Macaca fascicularis: one gene and its partners. The protein of the gene in region 3 purifies or fractionates together with the protein of the main gene of each other region. This does not show direct contact. Links are inferred from orthologs where the notes say so. Each region holds a gene or a part of one and is shown on either strand. Other genes may lie near its edges.

Region 1 (7,962 bases), on a different chromosome or scaffold from region 3:
AAATGGTAGTCCACGAAGTCGTACTGTCCCATCACTAGCGTCATTTGGACCATTATGTTTCATAACCCAATCCATCTCAATACCGTTTGATTTAAATGCTATAAAAAATAAACAAGCACATAGAGCAGTCAATCAAAACATACTCTTGTCAAGAGGTAATGAAGAAACACCTCTCAGAGGTGCCACAAGAGGAAATGTAACATGGCGCCAACTCCCGTGACAATGCCATGACAAAACTGTAGACCACCTTTCATATTTTGGGGTAGGGAAAAAGCAATGAGACCTGAGCCCTCCTACGGAAAAGTACTGAATTTCTTAGTATCAATATTATGTATTGCCTAATTTTAAGAAAACTTGCATAATTCTACTACCAGAGTCTTCAAACTATTTGACTGTGTCCCCTGAATGCCAACTCTAGCCTTTCCTTATCTCTCAACTTTTGATTCACCACTTTTCAGGTTTTTATTCACCTGATTATTCAAATTCTTTAAAACTTATTCAGAAGTTGCATATAATACCAGTATCCACTAACATCAAAAACCTAAGTAAAAAATGCAATGAGTACTGACTCATGTTGGAAAAACATCACATAAGTCTAACCCTTTTAAATGCACTACAATTTTGAACACATCAAACTGTCTTTGAAGGGCCAACACTCTCACCTCTATTTTAGCCAAATCTAGTTTAAACTCACCAAGAGTAAGATTATAAAATGACTGAATTAGATTAAAACTGAGGTCAAAGGCTGCTCAAAAGTGAATGCCTTCCAACAGTACCTGTGTTTTTGAAGCCACTGGACAGTGTATAGAAACCAGTTTACTCAGCTTTTTAATCAAATAGATTTAAACACAAACTTTAAAAAATACATAATATACTTTTTAATAAAGCATAAAAGGTACATCTAGAAGCCCCCCTTCCCCTCCTAAATGACTTCAGTTCCCAGTTCCCTTCCCCAGAGGCAACCATCCTTCCGTTTAAAATTACATAGTATTTACAAAAGAGGCGAATGCAGAAGTCCTTCAGCTGCAGAAACTTACCAGAACCTTACAAATTTCACTATGCAGCTGTAGGAATCCTACTCACCTGAGTATTTCAAACCTTTCCCTCACCACCTCCTCCCCTGTAAACAAAACAATTTGTTCATTTGATTCCTTTATTTTTGAAGATCATATTTCGTATCAACAGCATTCACTAATGCTTAATTTCATGTCATCTATTTGTTGGTGCAACTCTTAGGGGTGGCATCTGCAAAGGGTAAAGTTTTTTTTTCCTAGAATTCATGCATTTAAAATATGCACACAAATAAATAGTATGAATCCCTATTCTGCCGTTCACTGGTTACCTAAACCACTTAACCTCTGAGCCTCTTCAATTGTAAACTATAGCAGTGGTATCTATACCTCACTGCACTCTTCAAGTGCTTGGTCTGCCTCATGTTAAGCATTTACTGATGGCAACTGTTACTGGATTTTAAGGGGCCCTGCAAAAGCCAACAAGATATACCATACACGAAATATGTGAACCTTAAAGGACAGAAAACAATTCAAACCTCGAAGAGAACTGAGAATTGCTAAAAATTTTATTTCCCAAAGCCAGCGAAGGCTTTTAAAAGTTTAATACTGAAGAGTAGCTCTGAGAGGAGGAGGCCCCAACCCAGTTTGAAAAAAAAAAGTTCAGAGATGTTTTGAAAACGCCTAGCGTTTTATTTTTTTTAAATAGCACAAACCTAAAAAATAAGTGTTTCCCATAAAGGGTGATTTACACATAACGGAAAAAGTGGTACAGATCTACCCTAACTGATTCATGAAAAATTTAAGAACTCTGCAAATTCAACCTTAATCTGTTGTGAAAGGATCTTAGTAGTTTGCATTTAAGGAGCAAATGCTTAAAAAAAAAAAAAAAGAAAAAAAGAAAAAATTACTTTACTCATAAATCTTACCAATTCACAAGAAAAAAATACCAGCAAGCCAATTGGATTTTTGGATCGGTCTGTACCAATTATAAGACCCAATGAAAACAAAAAAGTGTTATCGATGTTATCTATAATAAACACTAAACTGTTAACACAACTTTTAATTGCGTAAAACCCAACCAAATTCAAATTCGGAACACTTAATCTATTTTACAGGGTGACCCTGTATGCAAAGCACATACAATAATGAGAGCCTCACTCTACCAACCCCTTCAAAACTAAAAATCCTACCTACAAAACAAAAACAAGAAAAACTCTAAGGGCACAGGAAGAAGCAATCTGCTCTAATAAAGCTGTCAGAAACTACTTAAAACACTTTACTAATTATTCAGGATAATCCACCTCAACCTTTCTTTGCAACAATGTCATGGCTAATCACTACTCTGCTTTAAGAATTCTAGGTGCTAGTAACAATAAAATATACCACAGTTAAAATATGAGGATGGCTTTGGTCAGTTTTATGAAACTTTAAATATAATTTTTTAAACATTACACCAAGTGAAACAAGCCAGTCACAAAAGACTACATATTGTGTAACTCTATTTGTATTCATGATTGTCTGAGGCTTGACGGGAGGGAGAATGCCAGCAAGGGGAATGACCAGTAAAGGGTATTGGTATCTTTTTGGAGTGACAAAAATGTTATAAAATTAAATTGTAGTGACGGTCACACAACGCTGTCAATGTACTAAAATCCACTAAAATGTACATTTAAAATTGGTGAAGTTTATGGTATGTGAATTATATACCGAAGTCATTAAAGAAAAAACATCCATTAGAGAACAAATGAAATAGAGAATCCTCTTAACACGGAGGCACAGCTTATCTTCTGAAGTAATGCATAAACGACTTTATGCATCAATAAATAACTTTCTAAATGGCAGCCCAGTGGTCAAGAAATGAGAATGAATTTTATTTTTTGGAAAAAGTGCTGATGATCTAAGTTTAACAGAAAATGTACATCATTCCTTCCCAATGGGCTTGCTCTTTAAAAAAACAAAAACACTAGACACGCCCCTAACAGCTTAAGGAGGTACGGTCTCTAAAATGTTAGTTTACTATGAACCATGTTTTTATCTACTGCAATTTAGTCAGTTGTTTACCAATACAACGAAATCAAAGATAACATTATTTTAAAAAGACAGTAAGATGGACTTCCAGATAATGGCACAACTGAAAAAGAGGACAGAAAAAAGGTGTGTGTGTGTAGTCCAATCCAATTAGTAAAGCTATTTGTTACAGCATATATAACTTTATAGGACAGTCTGGACTATCTTTTCAAAGGGCCACTCAAAGCTACTGTTTCAAGGTAAGATTTTCGTAAACTTTTCCTTGGCAATCTTGACAAAGCATCACTGAACATCTTCAACAATAGTAAGTTTTTGTTTTTAGAGCTGGAAAAGTAGGTAACAATATTCTTAAAAAGTTTTACATGAATTATCAGAAATTCTTACTCTCAGGCCTTTCCCGTCCCTTTTGCACTGTGTCTTCAATGAAAATTACGGATCCAGTTCTCAGGACCCTCATCCGAATCACACCACCACCACGTGACTGGGTTTACAATTTTTCTGTTTAATAGGCTTATTCCCTTGTTTAAAATACGATTACAGTGTATTATACTCCTACATTTAAAAAAAAAAAAAGGCCTAGACACCAAAAGAAAATAAGCCATAACCGTATTTTGAAGTATTTTACTTCTAGAGCCTTAATGCCAAGAAAAAAAAAACTGCACAAAATACAACTCTTGGAAGATTTAATATCGAAAGGAACTCAATTCCCATACATACACATCTACCATCACTGGGTTGTTTTAACTGTTTCCCAAAAGTGAAACTTAAAAACAAAGTCTAATATAGATGCCAAACTACGCAAAACAATTGCTACATCACCCACCCCCACCCCCAAAGTTCAAAAAGCAACAATCACAGTTCACTGGGCCCAGACGACCTACTTGAAACATGCCCATTTCACATTCCTATTTGATAAATCACCCACTTTTCTGCTTACAAAATCACCCCCGAAGTCCTTATTAACGTTTAAACATGAAAAAAAAAAAAAACCCCTTTGGAAAATCAGTACGTACTCTTTTCGAAGTTCCAAATCTGGAATATAAGGGCCGGCTAAGCGTCCTTTATTCCTCCCAGGAGACTTTCCGTTTATCTAGCTGCCCTAGAGACCAGAGAGCTAGGGAGAGTACGCCCCTTCCCCCACCCCCCAGCAGCCAAGCCTGGCTTAAAACCCTTCGCCACCGGGCGGCGGAATTACAAAGGAGGCCGTCTGCCTCCTTTGTCCTGGATTTGAGAGTTGAGCACCTTCGTCGCCATTGGCTTTCCTCCCCCAGCTCCAGCCTCTCTCATCTTGGGAATCTGCGTCAGAAGTCACTCGCAGTCCCGTCAGCCCAGGTAGCCCTGCCGAGACTGCGGAGGAAGGGAGGCCACGGTGGGAGGCCAGGCCCATCCGGCGCCATTTCCATCGGGAGCGCGCCCGGCAACCCCGATCCTCCCTCCACCCAACTGCCCGGTCTTTCCCTGCTCGCTTCACTACCCACCCTCATCCCTTCCAGGGAGCTTTGACCACCCCCTCCCCTGGCCTTCTGAATCAGTTTTCGGAAGCTGGGAGACAAAAAGTAAAAAGAGCGGGGAAGGGCGGGAAGCCGAGGTGGCCGCGCCACTGTACCCAAAATGGCGGAGGCCAAGCCAGCAGGGAAAGGGGGAAATGCTGGATGTCCCCTACTTCGGGCCTCGGCGTCGTCCACTGAGTTCCACCTGAGCAAGTCCTCCCATCGGCAGGCTGCCCTCCTTGAAGTGGGAGATGGTCCGGGAGGCGCAACCCCGCCGCTTCCAAGCGGCGGCCTCCGAGCGGCGACCACCGCACTAACCCCCAACCCAGCCCCTCCCGGCCTCTTTCGTCCTTCTCCCGACTCCGCTCTCGAAACCACCAGCCCAACCTACCCCCTTTTACTTCAGATACCCTGTCAGGCGATAGTTACGCCGACTCTGCTGCTCGCGGGGTCCAGTCGAGAGAAGGGAGAAGTTGTTTGCCTCGTGTAGCGCTCACCACAACGGTTCTCTCAACCGTCTCCAGCGGTGACAACCGCTTAGGGAGCTGCGCAGCACAGCAACTGGCTTGGGGGGATGGGAGGGAGCGAGCAAGAAGTGGGGGGCGGAGCGAGAACTGCGAAGGCGGCCGGCCCCACTCTCGCGAGACGGGAAAGTCAGGTTCGCCTGGCGCTGGCAGCACGAAGCGCGCCTGCGCGGTGGTGGGCTGCCCAGCTGTTGGGGGCGAGATAGACAGAGCAGAGGCTGGTCCAGGTAAAGAGCTGTCGTGTGTGCAGTCTTTCTTGCTTACGGTAGAACCATCCAGTTTTCGGGGCATACCATTCTGCCGCCTCGGGGCGATGGCAATGAAAGTTCTGCCAGTGTGTAGAAGGAACTGTGCTGTCGCGGTCTGGAGAAGTTCTCCAGTGATCTGCCCCCACCGTGAACAAATTCCGTGAGGGCCCCGCCCTTGCTCGGCATCGACGGCGCGGAAAGGGCGCCACGTGGTTCGGCCGGCAGACGCGGGGCGGATTTTCTGGTCCACCATGTTTGCATTGTGCAATGAAAAATAGAAGTGTTTCTGGGCCGCGAAGATGAAAACGTCCACCGAGGCCGATTTCGGCTCTCGGGCTGGGTGTCCGCCTCCTTCTGGCCCGGAGCTGCTGGCCGTCCCCCAGCGCGGTTCGTCCCGGTGCGCCGCGCGGGACCCGGGTTTCTTGGGTGAATTCCTGTACACGTTTCCGTTCTCTCTGCAAATCCTTCCTCTCTTTCTCCTCTGGCCTTCGCATTTTCATCTCTCCCGCCGTCAGTGCCTCGGGGACTGATTAGCCTGTGGAGGCCGACGTTGGGTTGTTTTCTATAGTTTTGCGTTGTTGAAAATTGCGCTTCCAAGTGACACCTAATAAGTACATTTTGGTTTTGCAGTCATGCCACTAAGGTTCTTAATGACACATTATGGCCTTTTTTTTAAGTTCCAAAAAAGGCCGGCCGCGGTGGCTCACGCCTTTGAGAGGCCGAGGCGGGAGGATCGCCTGAGCCTAAGGGTTGGAGACCAGCCTGGGCAACATAGTGAGGCGCTGTCTTTACAAAAAATACAAAGATTAGCTGGGCGTGATGGCAGCGCACGGGAGTAGATGGGACTCCCGAGTAGTCCCAGCTACTCGGGAGGCTGGGCAAGAGGATGGTTTGTGCCCTGGAGGTTGAGGCTGCAGTGAGTCGTGATTGCACCAGTGCGCTCCAGCCTGGGCGACCTTGTGTCAAAAACAACAACAACAAAAAAAAACCCGAATTTCTGCGCGAAGAGTTAAGGGGAAGCCTGGGAAAGAGATCAGTGCAAGTTCATCCTGGCTAACACGGTGAAATCCTATCTCTACTAAAAAAAAAAAAAAAAAAAAAAAAAGCCGAGCGTAGGTGGCTTGCCCCTGTAGTCTCAGCTACTCAGGAGGCTGAGGCAGGAGAATGGAGTGGACCCAGGAGGTGGAGCTTGTAGTGAGCCGAGATCGCACCACTGCACTCCAGCCTTGGTGACCGAGCGAGACTCCGTCCCACACCCTCCCACACACACAAAAAATCAGTGCAAGTTCCAGTGCAAGGCGTCAGGAAGATGGCATAATGTTAGAAATGTGGGTGAAGCTAGATTGTAGATAGTCTTCAATGTCTGGCCAAAAGACTTTGAACTTTGTGGTACAGACATTGGGAAGTCTGTTGGAGGTAGGGTGGGAGGTGTTAGCAACGTAGGAGGATGTATAATTTTTTCTCCCATGAGATCTGCGGTGTGTAGGATGTAAGACATTTTAAGGCTTTAATTCATCCTCAAACCTGCCTAAGACGAGTGTGGGGCAGTAAGAACATGGTGCTCACATACCCACAATGGCCCACTCCCTAAAAGTACTGAGTGGAAGGCAGAAAGGACAGTGTTATCACAATTAAAAGAGATGGAAAACCAAACAAGGATGCTGTGATAACAATGGCTCATATTTATTTTTCAGGGTTGTAAAGAGTCAGCAAATTGAGTATAGTGTGTAGCATAACCTACACACTGTACTCTTACAACCCTGAAAAATAAGTATCTTCATTTTATAGATGAAGTGCCTAAGTCCTAGAGAAGTGAAAATAGTTGCCCAAGGTCACACAGTTGAGTGGTAGAGCTAGAATTGGAGCCCATATGGTTTTACCCAAGGGCCAGGGTCTTAAAACACTATGAACCTTCGTGAGGTTACAAATATCTATAACTTAAGGAAACAGACATCGTTTTTGGAAAATTGAGGTTATGTCACCTAATTAACACTGGAGTTACCATTTCAGGAGACCTGTGGTTACTAGCTTATTGGCTGGAGACTTTTTGAACAGGCCTGAAACTTTATAGTCCCATTATCACTGACACTGTGAGTCCCAACCCCTCTCCCTCCTTTTAAAAAAATAATTGCTGTATTAATAAGACTCTAAGCTCCCACAATTCTGATGGAGTTCTTCCCTTGGTCCTCCTAGGTTCAAGTTACATGGCTATTTTTATCCTTTCGGTCTTTCAAACTGATTTGGTAGATGGAATTCTGTAATCTCCTTCACTCCTTGCTTGAATTCAATTTGTTTTACTGCCTGACTGAATTTGGCATTCCTGCCGCATATTTTGTGTGGTTATGGGTCACAATCTGAAAATCATTCTAATGACATGAATGATTTTTCACTACCAAACTGCTGCTTGCTTGCTTGCTTGCCATAATTTCTTTGGATTACGCACTCTTTGCCAATGTGCATGCTCAGTAAGGACTTGAAATTGGTTTACACATTCCCTTTGCCTTTTTATTGTTACAGTAGGAAGTTTTGAGTTAAAAAATACACTATATAGGCTGGGTGTGGTGGCTCATGCCTGTAATCCCAGCACTTTGGGAGGCTGAGGCAGGTGGATCACGTGAGGTCAGGAGTTTGAGACCAACCTGACCAACATAGTGAAACT
Region 2 (7,419 bases), on a different chromosome or scaffold from region 3:
GAGTCTCCACAGCATAATATTCCAATGCCCAGGATACAGTCCAAAATTATTTGATACACAAAAAGGAAAATGTGATCCAACCTCAAGAAAATATACCTATCAATAGAATCTAACCCTGAGATGACTTAGATGTTAACAGTAGTAGGCAAGGATTTTAAGGCAGCTATTAGAATTAAGCTTCATGACATAAAAGAAATCCATATTTATATTACAAACATACACTTATAATGAATGAAAAGATAAGCCACCAGAGAAATAAAACATATAAAAAAAGAACAAGCTGGAGATTTTTAAAAGTGAAAATGGTAGTGTCTGAAATACATTGGATGGGCTTAGCAAAATGGAAGGGACAGAAAAAAAACAATCACAGAATCTGAAGATAATCAATAAAAATTATTCAATTTGAAGAAGAGTGGAAAAAATGATACGAAAGAAAAAAGAAAGAGAGCCTCAGGGAGCTGTGGGGGATATCAAAAGTCTTAAATATAAACCCCAAGAGGAAAGAAGAAAAAATAAAACAAAAAATATCTTAAATAATAGCCAAGTCTCTCAAATTTGGTGGAATACATATATCTATGGATTCAAGAATCTCAACAAACCTTGAACAAGTTAAGCACGCACATACAAAAAAAACTCATGCCCAGTCACAACATAAGTCAAACTACTAAAAACCAAAAATAACAGGAAAAGATATTAAAAACAGAGACCACCACATTACATATAGGAGAGAATGATTCGATTTTAGCTGACTTCTTACAGAAAACAGGAAGTAGACAATGTCATATTATCTTTAAAGCATATCTGGTCTCTGGCCAGGCGCAGTGGCTCACGCCTGTAATCCCAGCATTCTGGGAGGCTGAGGCAGGCAGATAACCTGAGATTGGGAGTTGGAGACCAGCCTGACCAAGACGGAGAAACCCCATCACTATTAAAAATACAAAATTAGCCGGGCATGGTGGCGCATGCCTGTAATCCCAGATACTCCTGCCTGAGGTAGGAGAATTGCTTGAACTCAGAGGCAAAGGTGGCGGTGAGCCAAAATCATGCCATTGCACTCCAGCCTGGGCAGCAAGAGTGAAACTCCATCTCAAAAAAAAAAAAAAAAAAAAAGGTATTTGGTCTTCAATCCCCTTTCCCTGGCATAGAACTCCTAAATCCTTATAATCTCCTAAGTGGAGACTTTTTGCATGCTAATGAGTTGACTGCCAGCAGGCAGGCCCTAGGTAGCTTCGGTGTGAGGGATGGTCACTGGAAAGACCAAGAAAAGATTAGAGGGCTAGAACTTTCAGTTCCACCTACCAACCTCCGGTGAGGGGAGAAGGGCTGAAGGTCAAGTCACCATTGGCAAACGATTTAATCAATACTGAATAATGAAGTTTCCATAAAAACCAAAGGACAGGATTTGGAGGGCTTCCAAATAGCAGAATACATGGAGGTTCCTGAAGAATGGTGTTCGAGGCAGGGCATGGGAGCTCCCTGTCACCTCCTCCATATCTTGCCCTATGTATCTCTTCAACTGTATTTTGTAGTATCCTTTATAATAAACTGGTTTATTTATAATTTATAAATGCAGGTTTTCCTGAGTTCTGTAAGCCACACTAGCAAATTAACTGACCCCAAAGAGGCAGTCATGAAAACCATAACTTGAAGCTAGTTAGGCAGAAGTTCTAGAGGCCCAGACTTGCAGGTGGTGTCTGAAGGGACTGGAGTCTTGTGGGACTGAGCCTTCACCCTGTGGGATCTGACGCTATCTCCAGGTAGTGTCAGAGGTGAACTGGAGGAGACCCAGCTACTGTCTGCTGCAGAACTGATTGCTGGCTTGGTGTGTGTGGAAAAAGCCTCCCACCCCTGCCCCTCATTTAGTCACAGAAATCTTCTGTGTTGATTATTGGGGTATGAGAGAAGAAGAAAAACTTTTTTTTTCCCCACTTACATACTAAAAGGGGGAAAAAGTCTGGCACCCTAGAATTCTATATCCGGTGAAAGTATTCTTAAAGAAGGTAAAATAACAGTATTTTCAGAAAAGAAAATAAAGAGAATTTGTCACCAGCAGATCTACAAGACTATAGAGAAGAGCGTAAAAGATAAAGAATGAATAGAGACTTCAAGGACTTCAAACATGTAAAACTGTTTTCTCAACCAGAAGGCATTTTCAAGATCATCTTGCCCAATCCCTTCATTTTACAGAGAGGCAAACCAATGAAATTAAAGACTGTAAGATATTATAATTATCCAGCAGTTAATCTACCAAAAAGTAAGTCTATCGTTAGGCAAAGGAATGGAAGAAAATAAGATTTCTTTTTCTTTTTTATTTTGAGACGGAGTCTCGCTCTGTCGCCCAGGCTGGAGTGCAGTGGCGCGATCTGGGCTCACTGCAAGCACCGTGTCCCAGGTTCACGCCATTCTCCTGCTTCCGTCTCCCGAGTAGCTGGGACTACAGGTGCCCGCCACCTCGCCCGGCTAGTTTTTTGTATTTTTTTTAGTAGAGACGGGGTTTCACTGTGTTAGCCAGGATGGTCATGATCTCCTGACCTCGTGATCCGCCCTTGGCCTCCCAAAGTGCTGGAATTACAGGCTTGAGCCACCACGCCCGGCAAAGATTTCTTTTATAACAAGTCAGTATACAAAAATTCAGTAACAGGACCCTGTTAAAACTGGCATAGACAGGCCGGGTGTGGTGGCTCACGCCTGTAATCCCAGCACTTTGGGAGGCTGAAGGGGGCGGATTACTTAAGGTCAGGAGTTCAAGACAAGCCTGGCCAGCATGGTGAAAATCTATCTCTACTAAAAATACAAAAATTAGCTGGGCGTAGGAAGGGCGTGGTGGTTCATGCCTATAATCCCAGCACTTTGGGAGGCCAAGGTCAGGAGTTTGAGACCAGCCTGGCCAAAATGGTAAAACCCCGACTCTACTAAAAATATAAAATTAGCTGGGCATGTTGGCAGGTATCTGTTATCCCAGCGACTTGGGAGGCTGAGGCAGGAGAATCGCTTGAACCCGGGAGGCAGAGATTGCAGTGAGTCGAGATTCCACCACTGCACTCCAGCTTAGGGAACAAGAGCAAGACTTTGTCTCAAAAAAAAAAAAAAAAAAAAAAAAAATAATAATAATAATAAGCTGGGTGTGGTGACTCACACCTGTTAATCCCAGCTACTCAGGAGACTGAGGCAGAATAATTGCTTGAACACGGAAGGTGGAGGTTGCGGTGAGCCCAGATTGTGCCACTGCATTCCACCCTAGGTAACAGAGCGAGACTCCATCTTAAAAAAATAAAAGAAAAAGAAATAAAGCTTATTTCTCAAAAACTAGTAAAGCCTAGTGTAGCGGCACATATGCACAGTCCCAGCTACTGGGGTAGAGCTGAGGTGGGAGGATGGCTTGAGGCCAAGAGTTTGACGGAGCCTATGAATAGTCACTGCACTCCAGCCTCAAAAACAAAAAAGGCAGAAAAACAAAACAAAATCCCCAAAAAACAACCTACTAGACAGAGGTATCTCTTGCATACTTACATACTTAAAATAATCATGATATAAAAAACACAAAAATACTCTATTGCATAAAATACTATTTTGTTATATAAGGATATGTCAGCCAGGTGCAGTGGCTCATGCCTGTGATCCCAGCACTTTGGAAGACCGAAGCGGGTGGATGGATCACTGGAGGTCAGGAGTTCAAGACCAGCCTGGCCAACATGGTGAGACCCCATCTCTACTAAAAATACAAAAAATAGGGGGGCACCATGGAGCATGCCTGTAATCCCAGCTACTTGGAGGCTGAGGCAGGAGAGAATCGCTTGAACCCAGAAGGTGGAGGTTGCAGTGAGCCAAGATCACTCCAGCCTGGGCAACAGAGCAAGACTGCCTCAAAAAACAAACAACTTGCCAGAAGTGATGGCATGAACCTGTAGTCCAGCTACTAAGAGGGGTAAGGATGAAGGATTGCTTGAGCCCAAGAATTTGAGGCTGCAGTGAGCTATGGTTGTCACTGCATTCTAGCCTGGGTGACAGAGCAAGGACTCATTGCTTACCTGGGGTGGGGGGTGGAGGGAGTGTCAATGGGAGCAAACATGTCTAAAATATTACTGATTTTTCTATTTAAAGTATTATCACTGGAAATGAATGGAACATAACAGACTCTGAAATTTCTGGTGTATGAATACATGAAACAAATAAAACCATAAGACATAAAGATTAATGGAATTTCTCAAGCCCCTAAGACAGGTACATAATAAGGATGCAATCCACATCTTCAGAAATTTTGTCCAGTCCTGAGAGAAAACAAGATACCAAATTTCGTTAAGAAACACGATATATACGTAAACAGTGAAAAATTATTATCCTGAGTCTCTTACGCATATTGACTTTGTACAACTTTACAACACGCATCTCAACTGCTTGGCCATAGGTACTTACCCCAAAAGCTGGAACTTCTTCACTCTTTATTTCATTTATTCGAACCAAATAGTTAACAAAGTCTCTGGCAGCATTACTTTGTGCATCTTTTTTATTGGTGGAATTTCCCATGCCAGTGTAATTATAGCCTTCCACCTGAACCTTAAAAAAAAAGAAACAAAAAACAAAACAGCTAACTTTAGGAAATATACTCTAGAAATACACTGAAAATAATACACCTAAGAGAATTCATGAGCTACTGAAAGAAAAAGCTTGAATTGTGTTGTATAGTGATAACACAAAAACAATGTTAAGAGGTTCAGCTATTTTTTTCTCATATAACAGAAGGTTCACATTACAATCTGATTCTGTAATATGCACGAACAAGCTCTTCAGTTGTATTTAAGCACTTTGATTTGAAGCAATCAAGAATTGCTCTGCTTTCTAAAGGTGCTTGTAAAACTGCAAACAGTTGATCCAACTTTTCCCATCCCGACTACTGGTGCTGAGGAAGATATAGGCTCTAATTAGAATAATTTACCTGTCAGATTGCTTTAAAAGCAATCCTGACTTGAAAATGATTTAGAACAGGAGTCAAGTCACAATAATAAACTGTTGTTTCCTAATGTGCAACACATTAACATCTCCAAACAGAAAACATTCTTTTAACCCCAAAATGAACCTCATAAATCACATAAATGCAAACTGTATTCTTTAGTACCTCACACATGAATTTCTGCCTGTTTTTGTTCCCCACCGCTCTAATTTCATAGGACGGGGTCATCTTCCTTTTGCCACACCAGGCATACAGAAAATTTTTAACGTCACCCATGATTCAAGTGTCTTCTTCAGATCTAAGAAAACAAAAGTCAGTTAAAAACACAATTTATAATAGCAAAAACTGGGAGGAACCAATTATCTGGATCACTGAATCTAGGTTAAACATAGGATATTCTATCATGTTGCTAAGACTTCCCACATATAAATTTTAATGACATAATTGAAACTTTTACATGTTGTAAGAAAAAGGATACAAAACGGTATGATTTGAACTACATGAAAAATACATACACATGAGCAAGACTGGAAAGAAATACCCCCTAAAATGGTTATCTTTGGGGACTAAGAGTGATTTTTATCTTTTGTTACAAAGTATTTTATATAAGGCCCTACATTCTACAACGGGCACCTTATTATTTAACTCAGTTCATCCTCACAACAACGGCACACAGATATGGTGGGTACTATCATTGTCTTTTCAGGAAGCTTCCCTCCTAAACTTCCTTCCTTCCTAAACTAAGACTTAGAAAGTTAAGTAACTTCCAAGTCACCCACAGTGGAGGCCTAAATTCAAATTCAAACAACTATATATTAAGAAACAGCTATCATTTGCATATAAACTCAATGTTTTATTCTCATTCTGATTATGACCATTAGCACACTGTTTCCAAAGTTGTGGTCATGTATTAATAATATAATAAAGTTCAAATACATTAAGCACTCAGTACTGAAGACAGTGACCTATTATTAACTTAAATGTTCTATACCAAATCTCTCCTTTAGGCTTTATTATTTATTAAAATTTGAGGATACTAAAGTTTTCTTGAAATGCAGCAATCAGTCTTGGCACTCCCTCTCTGTCTCAGTCTATAAAATACCAGAAGATATGGAGCCTATCAGTCTAAATGCTGAGTCTAAACTGTAAGGAAGATATCTGAGACCACATTTATAACCAGAGAAAATAAAATGTGCTATGAATTTAGTTTGCTGTGAAACGAATCCTATTACCAGCATTAAACCGTCTGCTTCACGTTTCACGTTTGATGCATTTTGTTAGCACCTACGTCTAATGCATCAAACTGTACCCTGGCATAAATTTGTTACGTTTGAGTGGTCACAGTCTAACTCTGGTCATCCATGTGGCGAAGGGAATGTTCTATTAACAAAAAAGCCGTGGAAAGCTGAAGATGTTTATCTGGAAATTCCACCTCGTGAATAATTAAACAACAAGCCCTCATGGTGAATGAGTAATATGAAGGATTATACTATCAAACTCCTGTCTCTCTAGTCTCATACAACCCCATAATTTTCAATACCAACTACATGCTATCGATGCTCAAATATATATATTGAAGGTTTAGTCTTTTCTCTCTTTTTTTTTCTTTTTTTGAGACAGAGTCTCATTCAGTCGCAGACTGTAGTGGCGAGATCTCGGCTCACTGCAACCTCCGCCTCCAGGGTTCAAGCGATTCTCCTGCCTCAGCCTCCCCAGTAGCCGGGACTACAGGCGCCCGCCACCACGACCAGCTAATTTTTTATATTTTTAGTATACACGGGGTTTCACCGTGTTAGCCGGGGTTGTCTGGATCTCCTAACCTCTTGATCCGCCCGCCTCAGCCTCCCAAAGTGCTGGGATTACAGGCGTTAGCCACAGCTCCCGGCCCGTCGTTTCTCTTTAAAGTCCAAAATCAAATGCATCCAACTGTGGCACTAACTCACCCATCTGCATGCTATCTTGGCATCTCAGTCAAAACAGAATTTTAAATTTCCCCTCAAATCTGTTCCAACACCCTACCCTACATTTCGGTTTCCATAAACGGCACAACATCCACCAAGTTACTCCTGGCACAAGTTGAGAGTCGTCCACTCCCTGAAGATTCTCCATAGTTATCCTTTGTAGAACCCTTACTGTGTGTCAAACAATATCCATAATAGATCATCTAAATGGAACTATTTTACTTAATCCTTAGTAATCTTGTATAGGTAAGACCACTATCCCTTTAGAGAAGGAAACTGAGACAAAGAATATCTTGCCTCAGAAAGACAGAGCTACTAATTAGAAGAACAATAATTCGGGCAGGCGCTGTGGCTCACGCCTGGAATCCTAACACTTTGGGAGGCCAAGGCAGTCGGATCACGAGGTCAAGATACCGAGATCATCCTGGCCAACATGATGAAACCCCGTTTCTACTAAAAATACAAAAATTAGCTGGGCGTGGTGGCGCGCGCCTGTAGTCCCAGCTACTG
Region 3 (8,166 bases):
TATAATTAAATCTCATTACCACCTAAATTTTGAACTCTTAACTGAACAAGTCTCAATTTTAGAGATTCCATTTCATTTATACATAAGAATGACACTTCATGGGGCCAAAGCTTTTCTGATGACACTTCATTTTACATTATCAATCCAGATAACTTATTAACACAACCCTATTAAACTTCTTGTCTGGCCAAGTCACAGGAACTTGCCAGGATACTATCTATTTGAAGTCTTAGGGAAAGGTTTTGATTTACGTTGATTTCCTGATTCTACTAATGAAAACCTAATCATATTTAAAATAAAAGCACACTCATCCTTTAAACACATAGAATTTGAACTTACCAGATCCTCCTCTGAAGTTACTTCCTGGTCCTGGTCCGAAATTTCCACCGCCACCACGCGAATCCCCGAAGCCGAAGTTGCCTACAATAAATGCCCCAGTTAGAAGCAAGCCCTTACATGAATAAAAATAAAGAAGAAACAGAATTGAAATTACCTCCTCTTCCACTCCTAGAACTCTGAACTTCTTGCATTTCTTGTCTAGACAAAGCCTTTCTTACTTCTGCATTATGACCATTGATGGTATGGTATTTCTGCACTGCAATGAAAAATTCAAACTCCTTTTAAATTAAATCAACAACATTAAACAACTTTAAAAGTTTACCTTTCAATAAAATTAGATGTTAACATACACAAAATTGAATACATGGTAAGAACAGTACATTTGTGGTTAGACACTTACATACGATTTTATCCACAGGATCATGGTCATCAAAAGTAACAAAGCCAAAGCCTCTTTTCTTTCCAGACTGTCTATCAGTAATTATCTCAATGGTATCAATTTTTCCATATTCCTCAAAGTAATCTCTAAGGTGATGTTCCTCAGTATCTTCTTTAATTCCGCCAACAAACAGCTTCTTCACAGTTACATGAGCCCCTGGTTTTCCAGATTCCTAAAATATTGGTGGGGTAAAAGTCATCCCGACAGAAAAAAACACAAGCATGATTCAAAGTAGCCGACCTTTGTACCATACTTGGCTTGTATCGACCTTAAAACTACCAGATCTACAACAACAGCTTTTAGGGACCTAGCTTTTGACAAATAAGTTAGCTTCAGAAAATGGTCCAAAAACCCAACAGAGCTTTAATAAAATCTTGAGTTAAAACTAAATTCAGAGATACTTTCCGATGTTCAGCAAGGCAGCATTCTTTATGTTAATTGCACAAGACAGTCATGGTTTGCTTACCTCTCTTGCTACAGCACGTTTTGGCTCAACTACTCTCCCATCAATTGAATGAGGTCTTGCAGCCATGGCAGCATCAACCTCAGCCATGGATGAGAAAGTTACAAAACCAAATCCTCTTGATCTTTTGCTTGCAGGATCCCTCATTACCTTTCAAACCAAAGAGGAAACTTTAGCATTTAATCTCATTATAACTTATAAGTAAACAGTCATTATAATAGAATTTACTATGCTGATATAGTTACTTCCTCCATGATTCACTTAAACAGCTACGATACTAACATACAGTAACAATTCAGTAACTTACGTACCACACAGTCTGTAAGCTTTCCCCATTGTTCGTAATAGTTCCTCAAACTTTCTTCTGTGGTTTCAAAGCTTAAGCCACCAATAAAGAGCTTACGGAACTGTTCCTTTTCTCTCTGCAAAGGAAAATACCATTTCAATTTTTATTTACATTTTCCTCTTTGTATGCAGGAAATTAAATTCTTAAATATGAGGTGACCTGCTGGCAGAGTACCTTTTTCCTCTCCAAAGGAACAGTTTCTAAAGTTTTCTGGGGGGGAAAAAAAAAACTTACATCAAATTTAAACCATATGTTAAACTGCATATTAGTTGTGTTACACCAAAAAAATTGCCTCAGCTGATCTACACAAGTTTCAAAGTCATTAATGCTTGATCTAAATTTACTCAACATTAAATTATCTTAAACAAATGTATTATTACTTAATTTAAAAAATTTCTAAGGAGAAATGAACAAATGTAGACCGTGGTTATCAAAAGATTACTAAATCTTTACCAAAAATTTCAACCCTATAACCTAAAAACCCAGATTTCTATTTATAAACATCAGAAAATAACTTTTGGTTCGATGGTTATGACCCAAAGTTTTTATTTCACGATTCAGTAACATTTTCCCTTAACTGCCCCCTCTGGTGGTGATTCTAAGTATATTAGCCAAAAAAAAACTTTTTAAAATACTGTTTCTCCCTATGACTCTGACAAAAATATTTAAAATCATGATATGCATTAGCAATAACCTTAAAAATTACTTAAAACCAGGACAAATTCATTTTTATGACCAGCAGCACTCAAAGCTTAAAAGTTTTAACAGGTTTTTGGTGGACACTGTCTATACAGGATATGACAATACAGAATATGAATTACTCAGCTTAACCTTATGTACAATAAAATACATTCACCTGGCATAATCTCTAAGCTAACTATTACTGAAAGCTGAAGCTTACTGAACTTGATTGGCCATGTGGCAAGCGACACGGCACGAAACAATTTTCTAACTCAATAGGAAAAACCTCAGAGTTGAAATCTTTAATACCTGCAAACAAGCAAATATGTCGTATTATACAACCCTGTATTTTGGGCAGTTAAGAATGTTAAGTAAACCTGTCTTAAAAGGTAACTACGTTAAAAAAAAAAATTAAACGAGAGGAAGTGATATCCAGGACCAACTACTACGAATGCATAATGCACACTAAAAAGTCACAAGTAATTTTGAATGAAGAATTATTTTTTGTTCCTAGCAAGAAGAATTGCTGCTCTCAGCCCAGTTCTACAGAGCTCTCTCCCTCCATTCACATGCTCCCAACTGCTAAAAAAAAACAGTGGTAAATGCCAGTTCGGATTTTTTCCTGTAATTGTTTTCAGGACTGGTAAAAATAAAAAATAAAAAAACATTAACCGAAATGATTAAACTACTTCCTATGAGACACAACGCAGTCTTGAAATGGTTACTTGCCAAAATAGATATTTTCATTTTCTCAATTAGTTTTTTCTTAATTGTCGTCAGCACATAGGTGTCTCTAAACTGAAATTACCGATAATGTACATTTATAACAAGTCTTACAGATCACTAACAAAAAGCAAAAACTCATTACTTACCTCACAATTTTTCCAAACTTACCCGATGTCCACTATCGATTTTAAACAATGTTATTTTATAAACGTGCTTAGGGTCAAAGAAAATAACCAGGTAGACCCCCTTCGCTTGAGACCTTATGCTTATCAATGTAATGTTCAACCAAGATTGCAAACATAAATGAGAAAAGTAACAAAGTTCAAATACAGAGCGGCCCAGGCCCAAAACAATTTTGCACAAAAATACACACGCATTACAGGAAAGAGCCTCTGAAGCCATGTTTTAACCGAAGTACAACTAAGGATAAAATCGTTATTTCGCTTTCCTCGTAATTTCTAACTAATCATCTATAATGGTCCATGGAACTGTCCCGTAAGGATTAAACTTCTCAGGAAAAACATTACTTAAAATACGAGTCGGCTCTACAACTTAAGCGGAATCCTTAAGAACAGTAAAGGCTTCTGACGCGAATATCCCTCCCCCGCCCAGAAAAACCATCCTCGTCCCTGCCCCTCGTGGCCGATGGCTTCCAAAGTGTTTATTTTTGCTGCTGTTCATCTGCCGTTTTAGTGACTGCAGACCCAAATATATCCGTTACTCAAATAAATTTAAAAAACAGGAAAACTACAAAACGGTTTCTTTGTCCTATAGCTCGCATTAAACCCGGCCCGACGCCCTGGGTGGTGGTATCTTCTCTGAAACCGGGCCCGCAAACCCGGAGCACCCCCCCGCCCGCTCTTCGGTGTGGCTTCCGAACGCAATGGCGCCATTTCATCGAGGGGAAGGCTGAGCGCCTTTAATGAGGTGCGCAGGACTCTAAAGATCCAAGCTCACAAAACACTCCAAATCCACCTCGAAACGATATGAAAAGAGCCCGAGAAGAAAGAAAAATAGTTAACCACTTCTATGCCTTGACAGAGAAAGCACACTAAAAGAATAAGAGAATTAAAAGAAAAACGCTGAGAGGAAGGCGAGCCATGAAAATGGCGGCCGCCAAATCCGGTTCCCGGGAGAGAGGGGGAGGGGAAGCTCCGCAGCCTCGCTCACGGGTACCCGCTGCCCGCCGAAACACTCGCCGCGGAGACGCCGTGGCCCCCAAAGCATCGTGCTTTAAAAAGGGAATAAGAATTCCCGCCTCCGCGCCCCACTTTCACTCCAGCGGGGCAGCGTCCGCCATGTGAAAGCTCCCCATCCCCCACCCCCAGTGAAGGGAAATGGCGCCGGGAGGCCGAGGGTGGGGAAGCTTGTTTGTACGCTCAGGCCTCCGGTCAAGACCCCGTTCATAAACCTCAAGCCCCACTGCTACTGAAGCGGTCCGATTTCCTGCCGCTCTCCCACGGAGGCGGCCGGCCGACTTCCACAAGGGGGCCAACGGCCTCGCCATGCCCTTTCCAATAACTCATTGATTTCAAACCCGTTACCTCCATCGCGGACTCAGTCGCTTCAGCCCGATTTCCCGCAGCCGAGCGAGATGAGAGAGATCTCCGCGGACGAACACGAACCGGACTCGTCCTGGCGCTGTAGTGAGAACTGCCTCTCCTCGAGAAACAACACCGCTAGGAGTACCTCCGCACGGGACCCGGCGCTGCTGCTACTGCCGCTAGAGCCGCTGCCGCCGCTTTTCTAGAACCTTCCCCCCCACTAACGCGTCTTCCTCTACGTCAGGCCGTTGCGTAAACGCCCTAACCGCCGCCAATGGCGGGAAGGCTCTACGCCCCTCCTTACGCCAAATGCGTACTCCTCCCCCTCCTGTGGCCAGCGACAGTGCCCGACGTTACTTCCGTAAATGCGCTCAGTGAATTGCGGAAGGCTCGAGTCCCGCGAGTTACTACCTCTCGGAATAGGGTCCCGCCCCCGGCCTTGGCGCAAGGCAGGTGAGAAACGGTCGCGCAGTTTGAAATTAACGCCGACGGGAGGAGCTTAATCCGGAGCCCGGAGTTCCAGCCCTCTCAACCTGGGAGGTGGTCCCTGCAGCTACGCCTTTGATAACCCCCGCCAGAAAAATCGTAGTATAATATGAGCCTTCCCTTTTCGTTTTTCGTGTCCCAACTCGGCGGATTGACTCGGCCCCTTCCGGAAACACCCGAATCAACTTCTAGTCAAATTATCGTTCACGCCACACTGACCTAACCCTGACCCGCGTCTATGCAGCTGACCCCTGGGGTACAGGAGGGGTCTCTGCTGAAAGTGGTCCCAAAGGGGTACTAGTTTTTAAGCTCCCAACTCTCTCTCCCCAAGCGTTTGGAGGATTCCGCACCCTCGCACCGCAGGGGCGAGGAAGTGGGCGGAGTCCGGTTTTGGCGCCAGCACTGAGGCTGCAAAGCAGAAAAGCCACCGCTGAGGAGACTCCGGTTACCGTCCTCGCCCCTCCTCCCCCCTCCCTCCCCTTGGGGACCACCAGGCGCCACGGGGCGAACGGTAAGTGCCGCGGTCTTCGCAGCCGCCCTCCCCCTAGGGCCCCAATTCCCAGCGGGTGCGGCGCGCGGCCCCTCCCCCCCGCCGGGCGCGCGCCCGCTGCCCCGCCCTTCGTGGCCGCCCGGCGTGGGCGGTGCCACCCCTCCCCCCCCCGGCGGCCCCGCGCACAGCTCCCGGCTCCCTCACCCCTCGGATGTGGCTCGAGCTGTAGGCGCGCAAGGCCGGAGACGCTGCAGACCCGCGACCCGGAGCAGCTCAGAGGCGGTGAAGTCGGTGGTTTTCCTTCTCTCTAGCCCTCGCTCGGTGGTGGTGCATCAGATGCTGCACGCGCCCCGGGGGCCCGCTTCTCCGCTCCCCTCCCTTCCTTGCCGGACACCGCGCCGGGAGCTGCGGGAAGGAGTGGAGAGGGTCGGGCGGTGGCCTCGCGGCTGACCTGGCTCGGGGCCGGCGCCGGCAGTTAGTGGGGGGACTGTTCGGTCCTCGAGGGGGTAGGGAGCTGTGGCGACGGTCGCCCTATTTCGAGACAAAGCGCATTTTCCCTCCCCTCCCCCACCAGCGTTCCGGCGGAGGCGCCCCCTCCCCCAGCCGCCACGCGGGGCTGGGTCGAGACTTGGGCCTCCGGGAGGGCGGCGCGTGGTCCCGTGTCCGCGAGGCCTGGCGGCGCGCGGCCGACTGTCCCGAGGTTGCGGCGGCCGTCCCGTTAACGTGGCCGCCGCGGGGGGTAGGCGCGTGCCGTGTGGCGCAGTGCCCTTGAGCCCCCGCGCCGCGGCCTTTGTTTCTCCCTGCGGATGCGCTGACCACGAGGCCCGCGCTCCCGGGTGGGGGCGGGCAGCTGCGCTTAGGCCTCGGGACGCAGAGCTCCAGCGGAGAGGGTCGGAGGCGGAGGGGGAGCGGGTGTGTGCAAAAGGTGATTGCGTCTTCAAAGTGTCACGAAACGGGGTTGAAGCATCGTTAAGTTTTTTCCTTTAGTTAGTTAACTGCTGATTGGAAAAAGAGAGGGTTTCTGAGCAGAAACAAACTTAGGATTGCAGAACAGAGAAGATTCACAGGGGTTTACAGTTGTGAGTTGTTTGGGTAATCGTGCATGGTTTTAAACCGAAAGGATTGTCCTTTAAAAATGGAACATGGACTTGATTACAAATGGGATTTAGATTAGAAAAGATATTTGTCCCCTATGTTAAGCCATGTGAAGCTGCCTTAGGTACCAAGATCCCCAGTAAAGTCTTTCTAGACTCACATGTTTAGAACACGTACTTACGTGCATCATAAGCAATGTAGGTAGGAGCGCAAATCTACTCTGGATTTGTATCAACGTTTGAAATGTGCGCTCCCTACTTGGGGGTTGGAATCCAAACAGAACTTGTATTTAGTTACCTTTTTTGTGTCGTGCAAACTTCTCTTAACTGTCATGCATTTTTCTAGTAATAGTTCTTCAAGTCTGCAATAAAAAATGGCCTCCAATAAAACTACATTGGTAAGTTAATGAAAAGCTAAAGTATGTAAGGATTTAACCCAAGGTTTTTTCCCCCAAAGTATAACTTTGCATCTTTGTGGTTGAGAAATTTACATCGACATATTTCCCAGCTCTCCCAGTATAATTATAGGGGAAAATTAGGAGCAAAACGAATTCATTACATGGAGATACTTGCTGACTTGACTTAATAGCGTCTTAACTAGTTTAATCTTTGAAGGACAGTGCAATGTGGATTTTGCTGAGGATTTTTATCTTCAGATAGAAATACCCACGTTTTTGCAAAATATTACATAAAATAATAAAGCCCTTGTTGGTTGGCATAATTTTCCTTAAATCCCCAGAATTCTGGAGAAGTATTTTCATTAAAGCCAAATTTGAAGAACCAGGTACCTTGTGCACCTAGGTTGGAGCAAGTTAGTGAATCTTTCAAATGGCTTTGGTCACTTTATCTTGTTTTAACTTACTCTGAAATATAGAAGAATCTTGAATACAATTCATTGCGGTGTTTTGTTTTTTTTAAAAAAAATGATCGAAATAGCAAATACGATCCAGAAGGGAGAAAAGGCTAGATTTTTTGTATCTTCTTCAGCTATGTCATGTTACAAGTTTTTTAAAACCTTGGAATATTCACATAAAAATCATGAAATTCAAAGTTACAGTTTTCACAATATTTAACTCTCAACATATTGCATTAATCTTAAGCGCGTAAAGGTGAATGTTAATGTCTCCTAGGTAAAGTAAAGCATTTGTTTTTGGTCTGTATATGTTCTCTCTGGGTTTCACACTAGAAAGGGCACGTTGGTGATTTTTAATTTGTGCCATCATTAGATTCTATGTTAAGTCAGATACCCTGGAAAACAGAATTTGTTTTTGCATGCAATTGATACTCTTTGGGGTCTGTTATTTATTGGTATTTAAATAGTTTATTTTGTGAGGGATCACAGGTTGGCCACTTTAAAACTTTTTTTAACTTTTCATTTTAAAAATTCATTAGTGTTGTGAGATATATGTACTGTTAATTTCACTTAAATAATGGGAAATTTATTTTGACTCAAATCCACATTTGGAAAAAAGTACTGGGTTAAGCCAAACATATACTACAAAAGAAAATGGTGAGCATTTGAAACTAGCTTATGAATGCCATAGTAGTAAATACTGTA
Region 4 (7,419 bases), on a different chromosome or scaffold from region 3:
AGCCAAAAATGTGAAAGTTCAAAACCTCAATTTGAAAAACCATCTGTGAAGGCTGGGAACAGTGGCTCAAGCCTATAATCCCAGTACTTTGGGAGGCTGAGGTGGGCAGATCACATGAGGTCAGGAGTTGGAGATCAGACTGGCCAACATTGTGAAACCCCGTTGTCTACTAAAAATACAAAAAAATTAGCCTGGAGTGGCGGCGGCACCTGTAACCCCAGCTACTTGGGAAGCTGAGGCAGGAGAATGGCTTCAGCCCGCAAGGTGGAGGCTGCAGGTGAGCCAAGATCACGCCACTGCAATCCAGCCTGAGACGGCTAAAACTGCGCCTCAAAAAAAAAAACAAAAACAAAAACCCACCACCCCTGAGCTAGAAGAAACCCACGTATTCATCATAACCTCCCTTGCCTCCAGCACCTTCCCAGCCAAGCATGAAGGCCTCATAGACATGCAGGCCATGCAGTGAGGGCACTGGCACCTCCCCCTTCGCTCTGTGCAAGTGCTTAACAAGTTATAGGCAAGTTCAGATCAGGTCCTGTGCAGCCAAATGACATACAGCCCTTCCACAAGGGCCCCAAAGACGAGTTTACCTTCAGTTGCACTGGAGGGAAGTCTGAAGACATCTACACAACAGCCTCAACTGCCAAGCCTCTCTGCCACAGCCAGAGATGTGGCCCTAGATGTGTACCCAGGTGGGCACAGAGCACCGAGACTCAGTCCACATGACACTGAAGCACAGACAAGACAGAGTGCAGTTTTTAAAAGGAGGATTTATTTGACAAGTTTCACTTAGCGCAATATACCTAAAAGGAAATCACAATACAATGAAAGATTTAAATCAAGGCCTCAGAATTTCATACAAACACCAAGACCAAAATCCTAAAGTACTGGTATTGCGTCTCAAAATTTTCCCATTAACTTAAAAAAAAAAAAAAAAAGAAAAAAAGCTTAAACTTACGTGCCTTACAGGTTATTAAATGAAACTAGAATTAACGAACATGCCAAAATGTTTCACTTTTAATTGTAGACATAGCTCCTATATTGAGTTTTACAAAAAAATAAAAGCATGTCTTTCAACATGCATCCAAACAGTGTTCAATGTAACGTGGCAAAGGGCAACATTTAACATAATTCAACTGCTTTTACCTAAATACGCTTACTGCTTAAGTACATCCTATAACTAACTTGAGAAAAGCTGGAACTTAAGTTTAACAGTTATAGTTTACTCAGCTTCACTTTTACATCCTAGATTGAGTATTGTATTCAAAAATACTGGGCCTTAAGTCTTCATAACAATCCTGATTTCCACTTAGAGTAAGCATAAATCACAAGCTTGTATTGCAGAAACTGTTAAACTGAAGTTTTTTTTTCTTAAAAAAAAAAAAAAAAAAAAGTTGACCAAGAGTCAGTGATCAGGACAGATCAATTACATTCCCCATCCACCACTCATACTGGACATGCTAGACATCCCTCCCATTCCGTTCACGCCCATAGATGCACGGCTTCCACTACTGTAGTAGCTGCTGTTCATTGCTCCTTGGTTACCTGCAAAGAGATCAATTTGACAAGTTAGGAGTAATGTCAGACTACCAGTCAAATAAAATATAGTATTCCAAGAAAAAGTTTAAAAAGTATACGAGTACAAATGGCTGCTGTCCAAGTGGCGAGACGCATGTTTGGGAAAGGGGAATCCCGACTCCAAACAAGCCTCAATTAACCCCTTTTCTCTGCAGTACCAACTTGCCAGACTCTTGTGCTACCATTTTAACGGATTCTTCAGGATCAACATGAAAAATTAAGTTTAAAGGAAAACTAGTGTTTTTCAAAAATTGCAAAATTACTTCGTATTTTTAAAGCTAAACAAGGCATTTTTTAAAAAAATTTACCATAAACATTCACAATGTGTCCCTCGAATGGCATTTGAGAAAAGGGAGCACAGGGGAAGTCTCTTGCTTTTCCTATTCACGGTGGGCAGGAAGTGAGACAACCAAGGTGGACTAAAGGCAACTCACTGTGCCCAAATGGCAGCCTCCATGGAGTTAAGTCAGAGCCATTGACTGCTATAGAAAGTATTATTACAACATATCAGTATTTGCTATTGGGAATTTAAATTATATTTTTTGAGAAAATATTTACCTATGCAATGTTTGATTGAAAATCACTGGAGTTTTCCTGTAAAACTTGGTCTGCAAAAGGATTTTGTAGGGTAAGACTATAATACCAAAATCACCATTCTTTAGACCAATTGAAAAAAAATAAATAAAACCAATCCTAGGTTAACTAATAAATACGGTCCTGAACCCAACCACCATTCTACTATTCCAAATTCTCCCTCCATCTAAAATTGATGTACTGCTAACCAAAAGACAAAAAAGCGAACAACTTTATTTAATGTTTTAATAAATGGAGGCAGATATTTTCTGGCTCGACAGTATTCCAAAGTTGCAATGACTAGTTTTTTATTCACAGAACACTTCCCCCTCCCAATGATTGTTTCTGAAAATTAAGCTAGTAAAAAGTTACATTTGGATTGAAAGCATACATTTAATAACCCAATTTCACCAAAAAGGAGCCTGCACCTTCCCAACTAAAGAAACCTGCCTAAAACTTAATTCTAAGTATATTTAAAAAAACAGGCTTACCATATCCACTCATGCTGCTCTGGCCACCATAGCCGCCTCCGTAACCTCCACTCAGCTGCTGGCTGGCTGGGCCACCGTAACTGGACTGGTTTGCTGTTAAGTTAAGAAAACTTTAGAACCTTGTTCCTTACATAATGTGGTACCTGGTGGTACCGGGATTGTAATTCTATATCTATATTTTCCAGTCTTGATCTTATATTACTATAACCCTCTGCCTCCTTCTGCCTACTGTCTATAACCGGGCTACCCTTCTATCCATCATCTGAGCTACTCAAATATTTATAAACCGAAGTGCTAACGGTATATACATCAGCAGGACTAAAACCCACAAGATTCCCTAAGTAGAGGCATTTTGTGAAGATCTTATGAAACTGCCTGACTAGATTTAGTGGGGTTCCCCCTTAGATATATCAAAGGCACGTCAATACACCTAATTATGCCCACATTTATCTTAATCCTATTTTGCTATTTAAACTTTATACTCAGAAAATTTAAGTAGTTTCACTCCGTAGTCCCCTCCCCCAAGAGTACTTAAATCTAATTTGAATTATCTATCCTAAGGAACTTCATAACAAAGATTTAAGTAAGCCAGATACAAAATTCAAATATCAAGAAACTGCTTTCTTTGCCTAAGTTTGTTATGCTAAACTTATTAAATAGATTAACAACTTATAATTGACTTATACATATATAAACGTTTTGGTTTTTAAAAAAACTAACGATATTTACACAAGCCCATGCCTCCCATCATTTGGCTACCATAAGCACCACCGCTTGCTCCTGCTGTAGAATTCAAGAAGAGTTCTACATATCTGTGTTCTGAAATGAGAGAAAAGGCATACAAGGTTAGCTTAAAAAAAAGACACTAAAGTGATATTTACACAAACCCATGCCTCCTAGCATTTGGCTACCGTAAGCACCACCGCTTGCTCCTGCTGTAGAATTCAAGAAGAGTTCTACATATCTGTGTTCTGAAATGAGAAAAAAAAAGTTTGAAAATGTTTGTTGGTGAAACACAACAGGATAAGCACTTTTATAAAGTTTTTAAACAAGCAGATCTGTGAACTTCAAATACCTTGGCAAAGAAAATTCTAGCTACTTCTCTTAGGTGATCTACTTTAACTCCAATATCTAGCCTTTACATATTCATCTATGTTGTCAATTAAGGATATAAACTTCAAGATGTGCGTATCACAAATCCGTTAGACTAATTTTTAAAACCCAAACCTTCTTCAACCCACTGCCCCCCATCCCCCAAGAATTAATCTATTACTGGAGAGGAAACTTCTCATATATCCTTATTTTTCCATTTCCCTATTGTAAATGTTAGTCACACAATCACCTGTAAAGAGCCCACAAACGCTCAATCACACTTACGCATATTTGCTTTGTCTTTTGACATAGCTGCCACGGCATCTTCATGAGTTGCAAACTCGACATCTGCTTCACCAGTTACTCTGCCATCAGGACCAATTTCAATGTGTACTCTCACAGGATTGAGTGGTGAAAAAAACTACAACACAAGGCATTTCAAAGAATTAAATCAACTTTCTAATGTTACAAAATAAAACTACAATTTCTAACACAGTGCTCACATTTATAGAGTAAGGCTCAGACTTTTACTGCCATACTGAAATAAGACTTGTGAGTTCATCCTACACTTACATTATAAATGTCATTCTCAGTAGCTCTGTAAGGTAATCCACGCATGTGTACACAGTGTCCTGTTGTGCTCTGGAAAGTAGAGCCACCATCCCCATATCTGTGATCAGACATTCCTGAAAAACAGTAATTGAGGTCTAGATGGACAAGAGTGTAAGCATCCTTCAACTGAGAAATTCAATTCTTACCTTACCTCTTCCAAATCTATCTGACCCAAATCCATAGCCATCATTATAGCCATTGTAATCGTCATAGCCTCCATAGCCTGAAAGACAAAGTACAATCCATCAAACAAAACACCTAAACAAAGGAACAGACTACTTGCCAAACCCTGGGAATCCTCACGTACCTCCACCGTAAGCACCGCGCCTCATCCTCTCAAAGCCAGCTCCTCTGCCAATGCTGTTATACCCTCTGCCAGCCCCAGGTCTGTCATAGGGACCTGGCCGCTGCATGGCCATAAGCTTTCGTGGTGGATCATAATGAGTTCTAACTTCAGCTCTACTGCTCTTAAAGATCTCAATATACCTAAAGCATCGTTCATAAGGAAGGGGTAGGGAGGGGAGAGACAACATTAGTTCATTTTATACAGGTATTTAGTTACACAAGAAATACAATCTAGTCATAGCCATGAAACTGACTAATATTTAAAGCCAGATTTCTTATATTTGCATAGGCAATGACCAGAAATTCACTCAATAAATAGTAAGACAATGTAAACTTTACAGAAAAAAAACACTCACTCCTCCTGAGGCAGAGCCCAACCTTAGGGGTAGAGAGGAGTACTGTAAATAAACGTTCTAGGAGGGAAATAATTCCACTCAACTTTCAACATTTCAAGTCTTAAATCCATTGGCAGCATGTATAGCAAGTGGGCTAAAAAGCCAGCCTCCACCAACAGTCTAGCCCACACTACACATTTCCTTTCGCCAATAAATACCCCAGCCTATGCTTTTAGTAAGAATCAGCATAGGTAAGCGCATGCTTCAATGAAAAATAGTCACAAGCAAAGAGAATAAAACCTTTTGTGACAATTTCTTGAAAGCTATGCTTATTAATACTATGCAGAATATTTATATACAGCAAGAAAAAGTTTGTTGCATTTCAACTTTAAAAACAAGATCAGAAAGTATCACATTTTCTTATGGTAATATTAATTTACTCTAGGTGGGTGTTATTACAGCTAAAGCCAGGTTTGCATTAATTTTTTAAAGCCATAGTCTCTCAACTCTATTGATTGGGGTTAATAAGACTCACAAAATTGTCAAGTAGACCAATTAACTAGGGACAAATTTTAAACCTAAAATTTAGTTTGCGTGTAACATGGGACTGACACAAGAAAAGTTTGGAAATCATGGCAAAACATCAATTACCTAGGACTACAAAACATTAATTTCTTCTTTTAAGCAGAGAGAATATGGATTTAATTGTTTACCATAAGAAAAGTGACATATCCAACCAACCATCCATCCCCACCTGTGCCCTATTCTTTCCTTGTGTTTCTTTAGAGCCTTTTCAGCTATTTCCTGTGAAGCAAACTGCACGAAGGCCTCCCCCGTACTCCTCCCCTGGAAGTCCACCGGCAATGTTATCCCATTTGGCACGATTTCCAACCCTTCAACCCAAGGACAAATAACCCCAGTAGGGGGGCAATATTAACATCACAAGCCCAGAAATGATTCTTCTTATAGCTTTAAATAAACCAGAACTTTTAACTTTAGGTGAATGGTATGCTTTCAACAAGTACTCTTTAAATATGCATTGCAATAATATGAAGTTCCATTATTACGAAGTATAACTATTCTTAACACACCCATGGTACAGTATAAATTAAAAAAAAAAAAACTTGCTGAACGCAGGATGCATTAAGAATTCAACAACTTAAGAACACATATCTATGCAACTTAATGTTGAGAATTATACAAGAATTCAATTAAGTTTTAAGCATTAAATAACAGTTTTACTAAATTCAAAACACCTTTTACCTCATTTTATATTTCAATGCTTTAAGTTATTGGAACTTCAAGTCTTTAAAAAGGTATACATTTAAACATTTCATATAAAAACTAAAACATTAAATTATAATTGACAAACATAACAATCTAAACTTTCAACAAAACTGATCTACACAGCACAATCATGCATGCTTATGCTCTAACAGTAGTTATGATTCACTTCTGGAAATTCCGTCTATGAAAAATCCTTTCCGTGGATACATTCCCAAGCTTACAAAAAGGACTTAAAGCACTTTCCTAGAAGATATGAAATTATGTTCATATTTAACGTTGACAGATAGCATTCAATTCTCACCAATTTAGAGTAAAAACAAAACAAGACTTGATTTTTAAAATTCTGACATTAGGACTTGATACATATATAAATTTTTAACATACTACACTAAACCATGAAAGGATTTCTTGCTTCCAGTGTATCACATCATAAATATTAATATTTAAAATATACGATATCTAACATTGTTAAACATGCAATCTTATCAGCTCTTCAGCATAAAAACATTCAAATACTTTAGGCCCAGGAACAATTTCAAAACACTTTGTTATTTCAGATACTGAGACTACAAGCATTCAAACTACTCTCACTACATCTGATTTTCAGTAAGTTTATATCACACTGGTTAAACCAAGTCTTTCATAAATCGACTTCTGCATTAAAGAGAATTAGACCATTCTGGTCACATGACCCAAATGTGTCTCTTGCAACAACACAGACACTTGCCATAATTTACAACAACCTAATTCGTCACACTAATCTGATGTTAAGGGATCTTACCTTTAACGTGAAGTACTTAGCTGGACACCAATGTGAGGAAAAGCAGTTAAGCTGTTGAGGGCAATCCTCAATGAAAGATCTACTCTGAACTATAATACTAAATATAGGCAAAGTTAACATTTTGGAAGTACTTCATTTCCACCTTGAAGATGGGCTTAAATTATTTGAAGGTCTCTAGGAAGAAAACATTAATTCATTGGCAATTTACACAACCTATTGAAATACCTAAGCTACTCAACTTTAAGGTCTATTAAATCACCTTGCAGAAGCTAGCCAAAACTCACTGCTCATCAACAAACAGGACTACATACCTGAGAAGAACTGA

Evidence for each region.
Region 1: the proteins of HNRNPA2B1 (region 3) and HNRNPH3 fractionate together in Homo sapiens (co-fractionation; 3 studies listed by BioGRID and IntAct, with this or other methods). This does not show direct contact. The link is inferred for Macaca fascicularis from reciprocal best matches to the Homo sapiens genes HNRNPA2B1 and HNRNPH3.
Region 2: the proteins of HNRNPA2B1 (region 3) and DHX9 purify together in Homo sapiens (affinity purification with mass spectrometry; 4 studies listed by BioGRID and IntAct, with this or other methods). This does not show direct contact. The link is inferred for Macaca fascicularis from reciprocal best matches to the Homo sapiens genes HNRNPA2B1 and DHX9.
Region 4: the proteins of HNRNPA2B1 (region 3) and HNRNPH1 purify together in Homo sapiens (affinity purification with mass spectrometry; 5 studies listed by BioGRID and IntAct, with this or other methods). This does not show direct contact. The link is inferred for Macaca fascicularis from reciprocal best matches to the Homo sapiens genes HNRNPA2B1 and HNRNPH1.

The regions. Positions count from the first base shown.
Region 1 is NC_088383.1:78,231,294-78,239,255, forward strand, and holds the start of HNRNPH3 (heterogeneous nuclear ribonucleoprotein H3), read right to left. Parts: upstream 5,095-7,962; 5' UTR 4,923-5,094; exon of another isoform or gene 4,055-4,922; intron 99-4,054; 5' UTR 76-98; coding exon 1-75. Other genes in the region: PBLD (phenazine biosynthesis-like domain-containing protein), read left to right, coding at 5,603-5,729.
Region 2 is NC_088375.1:40,374,028-40,381,446, reverse strand, and holds part of DHX9 (ATP-dependent RNA helicase A), read right to left. Parts: intron 5,247-7,419; 5' UTR 5,225-5,246; coding exon 5,114-5,224; intron 4,555-5,113; coding exon 4,414-4,554; intron 1-4,413. UniProt on the Homo sapiens protein: Multifunctional ATP-dependent nucleic acid helicase that unwinds DNA and RNA in a 3' to 5' direction and that plays important roles in many processes, such as DNA replication, transcriptional activation, post-transcriptional RNA regulation, mRNA translation and RNA-mediated gene silencing.
Region 3 is NC_088377.1:104,102,987-104,111,152, reverse strand, and holds the start of HNRNPA2B1 (heterogeneous nuclear ribonucleoproteins A2/B1), read right to left. Parts: upstream 4,714-8,166; 5' UTR 4,545-4,713; coding exon 4,539-4,544; intron 1,798-4,538; coding exon 1,762-1,797; intron 1,664-1,761; coding exon 1,553-1,663; intron 1,392-1,552; coding exon 1,245-1,391; intron 951-1,244; coding exon 740-950; intron 596-739; coding exon 494-595; intron 421-493; coding exon 340-420; intron 1-339. Other genes in the region: CBX3 (chromobox protein homolog 3), read left to right, coding at 6,983-7,006. UniProt on the Homo sapiens protein: Heterogeneous nuclear ribonucleoprotein (hnRNP) that associates with nascent pre-mRNAs, packaging them into hnRNP particles.
Region 4 is NC_088380.1:186,459,019-186,466,437, forward strand, and holds the end of HNRNPH1 (heterogeneous nuclear ribonucleoprotein H), read right to left. Parts: coding exon 7,406-7,419; intron 5,920-7,405; coding exon 5,781-5,919; intron 4,833-5,780; coding exon 4,654-4,832; intron 4,570-4,653; coding exon 4,498-4,569; intron 4,442-4,497; coding exon 4,308-4,441; intron 4,156-4,307; coding exon 4,020-4,155; intron 3,614-4,019; coding exon 3,554-3,613; coding exon of another isoform or gene 3,524-3,553; intron 3,462-3,523; coding exon 3,372-3,461; intron 2,736-3,371; coding exon 2,643-2,735; intron 2,187-2,642; coding exon of another isoform or gene 2,137-2,186; intron 1,546-2,136; coding exon 1,427-1,545; 3' UTR 751-1,426; downstream 1-750. UniProt on the Homo sapiens protein: This protein is a component of the heterogeneous nuclear ribonucleoprotein (hnRNP) complexes which provide the substrate for the processing events that pre-mRNAs undergo before becoming functional, translatable mRNAs in the cytoplasm.